2 linked regions of the Sus scrofa genome follow. The protein of the gene in region 2 purifies or fractionates together with the protein of the main gene of each other region. This does not show direct contact. Links are inferred from orthologs where the notes say so. Each region holds a gene or a part of one and is shown on either strand. Other genes may lie near its edges.

Evidence for each region.
Region 1: the proteins of DUSP2 (region 2) and MAPK1 purify together in Homo sapiens (affinity purification with mass spectrometry; 4 studies listed by BioGRID and IntAct, with this or other methods). This does not show direct contact. The link is inferred for Sus scrofa from reciprocal best matches to the Homo sapiens genes DUSP2 and MAPK1.

Annotation. Positions count from the first base shown.
Region 1 is NC_010456.5:50,138,461-50,142,264, reverse strand, and holds part of MAPK1 (mitogen-activated protein kinase 1), read right to left. Parts: intron 2,333-3,804; coding exon 2,150-2,332; intron 632-2,149; coding exon 442-631; intron 1-441. UniProt on the Homo sapiens protein: Serine/threonine kinase which acts as an essential component of the MAP kinase signal transduction pathway. MAPK1/ERK2 and MAPK3/ERK1 are the 2 MAPKs which play an important role in the MAPK/ERK cascade.
Region 2 is NC_010445.4:47,050,950-47,055,301, reverse strand, and holds DUSP2 (dual specificity protein phosphatase 2), read right to left. Parts: upstream 2,860-4,352; 5' UTR 2,749-2,859; coding exon 2,361-2,748; intron 2,264-2,360; coding exon 2,151-2,263; intron 1,728-2,150; coding exon 1,508-1,727; intron 1,390-1,507; coding exon 1,175-1,389; 3' UTR 486-1,174; downstream 1-485. UniProt on the Homo sapiens protein: Dephosphorylates both phosphorylated Thr and Tyr residues in MAPK1, and dephosphorylation of phosphotyrosine is slightly faster than that of phosphothreonine. Can dephosphorylate MAPK1.

The sequences.
Region 1 (3,804 bases), on a different chromosome or scaffold from region 2:
CTACTCTTGATTGCCGCAGCTTGGTAGTAAGTTCTGAAATCAGAAAGTGTGAGTCCTATAACTCTGCCCTTTCATAAAATTGTCTTAGCTACTCTGGGTCTCTTGAATTTCTATTGCACTTCAGGATCAGCCTGTCCATTTTTGCAAAAGAAGCCACCTGGGGCTTTGATAGGGATTCCACTACATCAGTAGATCAAATTTGAAAACACTGCCATCTTAACAATATTAAGTCTTCCAATCCATGAACATGGAATGTCATTTCATTTATCTAGGTCCTCTTAAATTCAAGTGCATTTTTATTAGAATGAATCTACATTCTTTCATGATATCTGTGGCCCTGAAAAGAAAAATAAAATAAAAAATTATATATAAATAAACATTCTCCAGCAAAACGAGTTTTGTCCAATAAATATCACCCTAAGAGTAAATAAGCTGGCTGACCTTGAGATCGCAGGTGGTGTTGAGCAGCAGGTTGGAAGGTTTGAGGTCACGGTGCAGTACGTTAGCTGAATGGATATATTTTAACCCTCTGAGGATCTGGTAAAGAAAATAGCAGATATGGTCGTTGCTGAGGTGCTGCGTCTTCAAGAGCTTGTAGAGATCTGTTTCCATGAGGTCCTGTACTATGTATCTGTTTGGAAAGATTAAGGTAACACAACCAAAAGAGCTAGTTACACTAGCAAAGCACTGAAAACAGAAAGAATCCAAATGGTCCATTATTACATCATGAGGCCCAGAAGGGAAATGAGAAACTGATGGAAACTGAGTAGAGCTTAATGGAAGGAGTCCTGAGTAGCTGCTTCCTCCTGAGGTTCTGTGAAGTCTTCCTGCATTTCTTTTATTCATTTCTCTGTAAATACTATACGTCTCCTAGAGATTCATGCTAGATGAGACACAGTATGGGATTTGAAGAAACATGACTTAAAAACTAGTCATCTAAAAAAGACCTGATTTTCAAGGCAAAAGGTAAAGCAGGACAACAGGCGGCAGAAGGAGGCATTTCACTTAAAATATCACAACTTAGTAACAGAACTGTTTAAAAATGGAAAGACTGCCTAGAGACAGCGCACTGCCTCTCCCTGGAGGGGCGGACTGCACAGTGGGCAAGCTGGCAGGAATGCTGCACTGGCCAGAACCCTTTCTCCTGGCAGATCCTCCTCCAGCACACTTAACACTTCTTCTTTTTTTTTTTTTTTTTTTGTCTTTTTGCCTTTTCTTGAGCCGCTCCCGTGGCATATGGAGGTTCCCATGCTGGGGTCTAATCAGAGCTGGTGCTGCTAGCCTACGCCAGAGCCACAGCAATGCGGGATTCGAGCCACATCTGCGACCCACACCACAGCTCATGGCAACACCAGATCCTTAACCCACTGAACCTCATGGTTCCTAGTTGGATTCATTAACCACTGTGCCACGATGGGAACTCCGAGCACACTTAACACTTCTATCTTTCACATGCAGTCCTTACTCAGAAAGTATCCTCTGGACCTCCTGAGTCCAGATTTCTAAACGTTTGTCACAATTAATGACAACTTCAGACCTGAGATAGCCTTGAAGATCATGAAGGCTGTACCTCAGTTTTAACATGAGAAAACTGGACCCAGAAGTAAAATGACACTGAGATCAGGACAATCTCGACCTGACCAGGTGCTATACAGGGCCCCTTCTTTTAGTCTACTGCTCTTTCACCACAACAAACCATACCTTGAAAAGAAGTATCATGACTGGAAAAGGTGTTAACCAACATTTTCCATAACTACACTTAGAGAAATCTTTACTGAAACTGAGAAAATATAGAATAAACAGCAAAAAATATGCTAAAGCTACTAATAAAATGAATCAGAGAAAAAAAGTAAATGATGTGGGAGTTCTCTTGTGGTTCAGAGGGCTAAGGACCCAGCTTTGTCACTGCTGCAACTTGGATTGCTGCTTGGCATGGGTTTGATCCCTGACCCAGGAACTTCCACATGCTGTGGAAGAAGCAAGGAAAAAAAAAAAAGTAAATGATGCAAGTGTTATAGTAAGTGGCAAGCAGAGCAGAGTTTCCCCTTAAACATGTTTGACTACTTTTCTTCCACCACGATAAGTGGAAGACTTGATGTGTACTCAACCAGGTGATGGAGCAGTGGAGTCCACAGCCTGAAAAGGATACACATCTTTCATCTGCTCGATGGTTGGTGCTCGAATGATATCATTGATTCCAATGATGTTCTCGTGTCTAAAGCGCAGTAAGATTTTTATCTCCCTCAGGGTTCTCTGGCAGTAGGTCTGATGCTCAAATGGACTGATTTTCTTGATAGCTACTCGAACTTTGTTGACATTATCATAAGCAGAGCTGAAAAAGAGGGGAGATGGCATTAAAAACAGTTCTCAGAACACCCTGGCAGAAAGAACACAAAGTGAAGTATTCTGCTTAGAACTCTGGGCAAATACTTGTTTCACATGCATGAAGGCAGAATGCATATCACCCACAAAGAGGCCCTAAGTGAGGGAGGACATAGCAGGATGCCACAGTACACACTATGTATCTCAGAACCACCAGAGGGCCTGGCCCTGGAAACTGTATGGACACCAAATTTCTTTCTTTCTTTGGCCATACCTGCAGCATGCGCAAGTTGCTGGGCCAGGGACTGAACCTGCCACAGCTGTGACCAGAGCCACTGCAGTGACAACAGATCCTTAACCCACTGAGCCACCAGGTAACTCCTGGTTGCCCATTTTCAAAACCCCAGGAATATGGGTGGATTCCCCCCCCCCATTTTTCCCACTGTTTTTAACAGCAGCTGCATTCCGGTGAGAGGAATCGTTTCTGCCTCCATAACAGCTTCCTACTACTGTATCAGATTCCACTGACTCAGCAGAAATATTCCAATGACCATCAACTACATCTTCACCCCTAACAAAAATGGACCCAAGAGGGCAACAGGGATCTACTGCATAGCACAGGGAATTATAGCCATTATCTTGGAAAACTTTTAACAGAATATATAACCTATAAAAATACTAAATCAGGAGTTCCCATCATGGCTCAGTGGAAATGAATGTGACTAGTATCCATGAGGACCCAGGTTCGATCCTGGCCTCTCTCAGTGGATTAAGGATCCAGCATTGATGTGAGTATGGTGTAGGTGTAGGTCATAGACACAGCCTGGATCTGGCATTGCTATGGCTGTTGCACAGGCCAGCGACCCCTTGCCCGGAAACCTCCATATGCCATGGGTTCAACCCTAAAAAGACGAAGACAAACACCCCCCGCCCCATCATTATTCTGTACACCAAAAACTAAGTACTATTTAGTCAACTATATTTTAATGAAAAGGGGGATTGTTCCCTGGTGGTACAGTGGGGTTAAGGATCTGGCATGGTCACTACTGTGGCTCAGGTTTTGTTTTTGTTTTTCGTTTTTTTTTGTCTTTTTGCCTTTTCTAGGGCTGCTCCCATGGCATATGGAGGTTCCCAGGCTAGGGGTCGAATCGGAGCCGTAGCTACCAGCCTACACCAGAGCCACAGCAACACAGGATCCGAGCCGCGTCTGCAACCTATACCACAGCTCACGGCAATGCCAGATCCTTAACCCACTGAGCAAGGCCAGGGATCGAACCCGAAACCTTATGGTTCCTAGTCGGACTCGTTAATCACTGCTCCACGACGGGAACTCCCTGTGCGCAGGTTTGATCCCTGGCCCCAGAACTTCCACATGCCGTGAGCGAGGCCACCCTCTCCAAAAAGAAAGGGGACCCAAGAGGACATATTGATTGCTTACAGCAATTTTGTCTTACCTGCAAAATGATGTTGTCTTACCAACCC
Region 2 (4,352 bases):
CCAGGGGAGCCACACCCAACAGGCACACACAGAGACATGGGTGTGTGCAGGTCAAGAACACACAACCACACCCACAGAAGCTGTCACAGACGGCTGCACTCGCACTCACATGCATGCATGGACGCACATGCATGGACGCACACGCACGCACTCACACTCACACAAACAATCCAGAAAGTAAGTAGGTCTGCCCAGGGCAGTGCTGGATCCAGCTCTGAAGGGTACACACAATCTTGTCCCATAGGACCAAAGGTGGAAACTGGAATAAGGCCGGAGCCAGCCTCCCAAGAAACCACGGCTTTCAGCTCTAGAGACAGAAGGCTGCCTGAGAAAAGACACCAGCCCCAAGGGGACCAGGGCAAGGAGGTGAGGTCACTCTGTGCCTTCCTCCTTCCATTTTCCGCACAAAGGAAGGTGAGGTCTGATTGAGAAACGGCTTTTGAGCACTTTCCCAGGCACCAATTGGAGACCAGACACTGGAGAAGTTGTTTCTTAAACAAAACAATATTTTATTGACACATCTTCAATGTTCCATATAAATATAAAGTGCTAAGTTTCCAACCCAGCCCACAGGGCTGGGAGGAAGTGGGGGAGGGAGTGTTAAATGTCAGTTGAACACAAATAACTTTCCAGCGCCAACACAGGCGTGAAACACTCACACTCACACACACACACACACACACACACACACAGGCAACCAAGAGGTCCAGACACGGCATCTGCCTTACTTCCCCAAGCCCCGCGCAGGGCTCAGGCTCCAGGCCTCAGGGTGGACCACCCCAGACAGGGCTCCTGGTTGTCACAGCTTATTCCTTGGAGCCCTCAGGCCTCCAAGGGCTCTGGCATGGTGGGGCCAGTGGGAATCCATGGGTGTAGAGTCCAGTTCATTTCTGCCAGAGGACGGAGGAAGAGGGAAGCAGAACAGCCTCCATTCTCCTTCCAGGATGAGGACTGAGGGCCAGCCCTCAAACCCCTAGCAGAAGAGCACCAGGTGAGAAAGTCCAGCATTGCCGTATCCCCAGCGCCTCCACCTGGGGCTTTTCAAACTCCAAGGAAGGGGCCGCTCTCCTTGAGGTGGGGGGTGCAGTGGGGGACTGGGGCCCCAGCTGTCCCCAGGAATCAGGTAGCCCTGTGCTCCTGGGCCCTGGGGGAGCCAACATGGTGGCGCCCAGCCTCAGTGACACAGCACCTGAGTCTCAAACTGCAGCAGCTGCCCCATGAAACTGAAGTTGGGGGAGATGACTCCCCTGCGTTGTTTAACAAAGTCAAAGGCCTCATCTAGACGCACTCGACGGTTCTGTATCAGGTACGCCAGGCAGATGGTGGCGGAGCGTGAGATGCCTGCCTGGCAATGTACTAGCACCCGGCCTCCACTGTTCTTCACCGAATCTGCAAAGGAAATGGGAGAGAGGGGCGTCAGACAGGAAGGTGGGCTGGGCAAGAGACAGGTGCCCCAGCTCCTGCCCCTGGAGCCCCGCTAGGTCCCACGCCAAGGCCTGCCTCTTACCAATGAAGCCGATAGCCTCCTGGAACCAGGCACTGATCTCCACCATCTGGTTGTCCTCCACAGGGATGCTTTTGTAGCGCAGCAGGCCCTCAAAGTGGTTGGGGCAGCTGGCCGAGACATTGAGGACCGCAGTGATGCCACAGGCCTGCAGCCCCTGCAGGTCAGATGAGTGGCTGCAGCTGCCCAGGAACAGGTAGGGCAAGATCTCCACAGGGCCACCCTGGAGAAGAAGAGGCAGAGGCAGCGGTGAGAACTCAGCTCTGGCCTAGAGGGCTGGAGCACCGCGGTGGGTGGTTGTTGGGCATAGACACCGTGGCAAACCGGCCAGGGAAGAGAAACCCTTAGCCAGTCCTAACCGGGAATCAGACATGGGGACACGCAGAGATATACACTCACAGACAGACATTTCCCCCCAAGCCCCCAAATTACGCTGCTCATAGGACAGACACAGACTCTCCGAGATGCTCACGAGCAAGTAAGGCATACACAAAGGTGTTCTCCCCTTTAGGGGTGAGGACACACATACACAGGTGACTGTGGGCATAGACAAACTCCTGCTCCCACAAATGGCAGACTCTTTCCCCAGAGGCGCCTACCCTTGGGGTCAGCGGGACATTGACAAGGAACCCCGATCTCAACTCACCTGGTCATACAAGGGAGCCCTGGGGTCGGGGCGGCTGTTTTCGGGCAGCATTGGCAGGGCGGGGGACTCAGAGCACAGATCGGGGCAGCAGGCCTGGAAGCCATCGAAGCCTCCTGCAAGTTGGATCAGGACACGGTTAGCCGGGAGGGCCCGTCGGGGTTCGGGGACGCGGCAGCCGAGGGCGGGGAACGCTGGCCGGCCGGCACTCACCTGGCAGGAAGTACACAAGGGTGGGCCCGGCGCGGGTCTCGTGCAGGAGCGCGGCGAGCAGAGCGTGGGCTGGACCGTCGGGCGGGAGCTCGGCCACCGAGGCGCTGCCTTCATCCAGCACCACGGCCCGCGCCAGCTCCCCGCGGGCCAGGCGCGCCCGCAGCGCGCGGTCGGGCAGCAGGCAGGCGAGGGCGGAGGCGGGCGAGCCGCTCGCGCGGCGCCGCAGCAGCGCGTTCCAGGGCACCGGCCGTGCGGTGCGCACGTGGCGGCGACAGAAGGCCAAGAAGGGGCGGCAATCGAGCAGCAGCGTGCGCTCGGCCTCCCGCGGCTCCCGCAGGAGCGCGCCCAGCGCCGCGCAGTCCAGCTCGCGCGCCGCCTCCAGCCCCATGTTGTCCGTCTCCCCTCCTCCCTCTCTTCTCCTTCCTCCCTCCCCGTGCGCGCTCCGGGCTCTCGCGGCGGCCGCGCTGCCTGAACCGTCTGTTCCGGGCTCTGACTGCAGTGCCCTGGCTTAAGTAGCTGTGGGCCGGCCTCCCGGGTCACCATACAAGGGCAGAGCAGGAAGGCGCCCGCGCCGCCCCCGCCGTCTCACGCGGGGTGCAGCCTGGGCGGGCCCAGGATTGGAGCGGGCTGGGGGACTGGGACGGGGGCGGGGCGCTGCGGTGGGAGAGGAAGCCCGGGACCAGCACGGAGGGTGTTTCCCCAGACGCCCCCTTCCCACCTAGGCGCCCCAGGGCTCTTCCTGAGCGCCCTAACCCTCTGACCTGACTTCTCGACTTCTCAGATGCACATCCCCCTCCTCAGGGGGCCGTGGTGCCCCTCGCTTCGCTTCCTCTCCCTTCTCCCTCCTCCCTCCCAGGATTTACCTTCTCCTGGGAATCTGTGACAACAAAAGTTTACATCTGTCTGTTGCCACGGGTGGTTTCCACACTGCTGGATGGGGAACCATGTCTTGATGTGCCTCTTCTCTTCTGCTTAAAAGACCCTGGTAGGGAGGGACTCTATTCCCCCACCCCCCATTTCCTGGCTGAGACCAGCCAGGGGTTTTGCAGCTGCTCAGTGGCCAAGCTAGGCCAGAACGTTGTCCTCTGAGCCCAAGACCCTGGCATGGCATGAAGAGGACCCCCAGGGCCTTGGCCTGGAGCGGGCAGGGGAGCCTGTGACGACTTTCCAGTTGGTAGAGCAAGGCTTCCTCCTCTGAAGCCCAGGGAAACTCCAGGGGCCAAGGGTGAAGCACTTCCCCAAGTCACAGGCCAGCTCTGAAGGGGAACTCTGCTGACGCTGCTGGGCTCTCCCTGAGGCCTTGTGGGAATTTCAGGAGCCTCACCAAGGGAAAGAGAGAGAAGAACTACCAGAATCTGCCTCCCCCGCCCTCCCCCGCCACTCCCACTCAGCCCCACCTAGACCTGCAGCAGGGGCCCTGGACGCAGGGACCCAAGCCTGGAGATGAGCAGTAAGACTGGGGGAGCAAGGGAATCCACATCCCTTCAGCCCGCCCCCACCCCTGAGGCGGATGTGGTGAGTCCCAGGTGTGCGTGGGGGTCTGGGCCCCTGGGCTGGGGCTAGAGATGTTGGCAGTTGAACTCTGAAGCAGAGACATTCAGGTCTGTGGGGACAGTACCCTGGAGTGGGAGCGCCCCCACCCCCATCTAGCTGCATGGGATTTCAGAACCCAAACCCCTAGGCCCCTCTCCCTCCCTCCAGTCATTACCCTGGGGCCTAAGGCCCTCCTGGAGACCCAACTAGTATCCATAAGCAGCAGCAGCTCCCATTTGACTCCTAGCCTGGGAACTGGCATACACTACAGGTGCGCCCCTAAAAAGAAAAAAGAAAAAAAAAAAAAAAAGACCCTCCCTATGCTGCAGACTCTTATGTTCAGACTGTCTTTGAGCCCCAAGCCCCAAGCCTTCCCCTTGGCTTGTAAACTCTAAACTCTTCCCAGTGGGGGTGTGTGTGTGTGTGTGTGTGTGTGTGTGTGTGTGTGTGTGTGTTGGA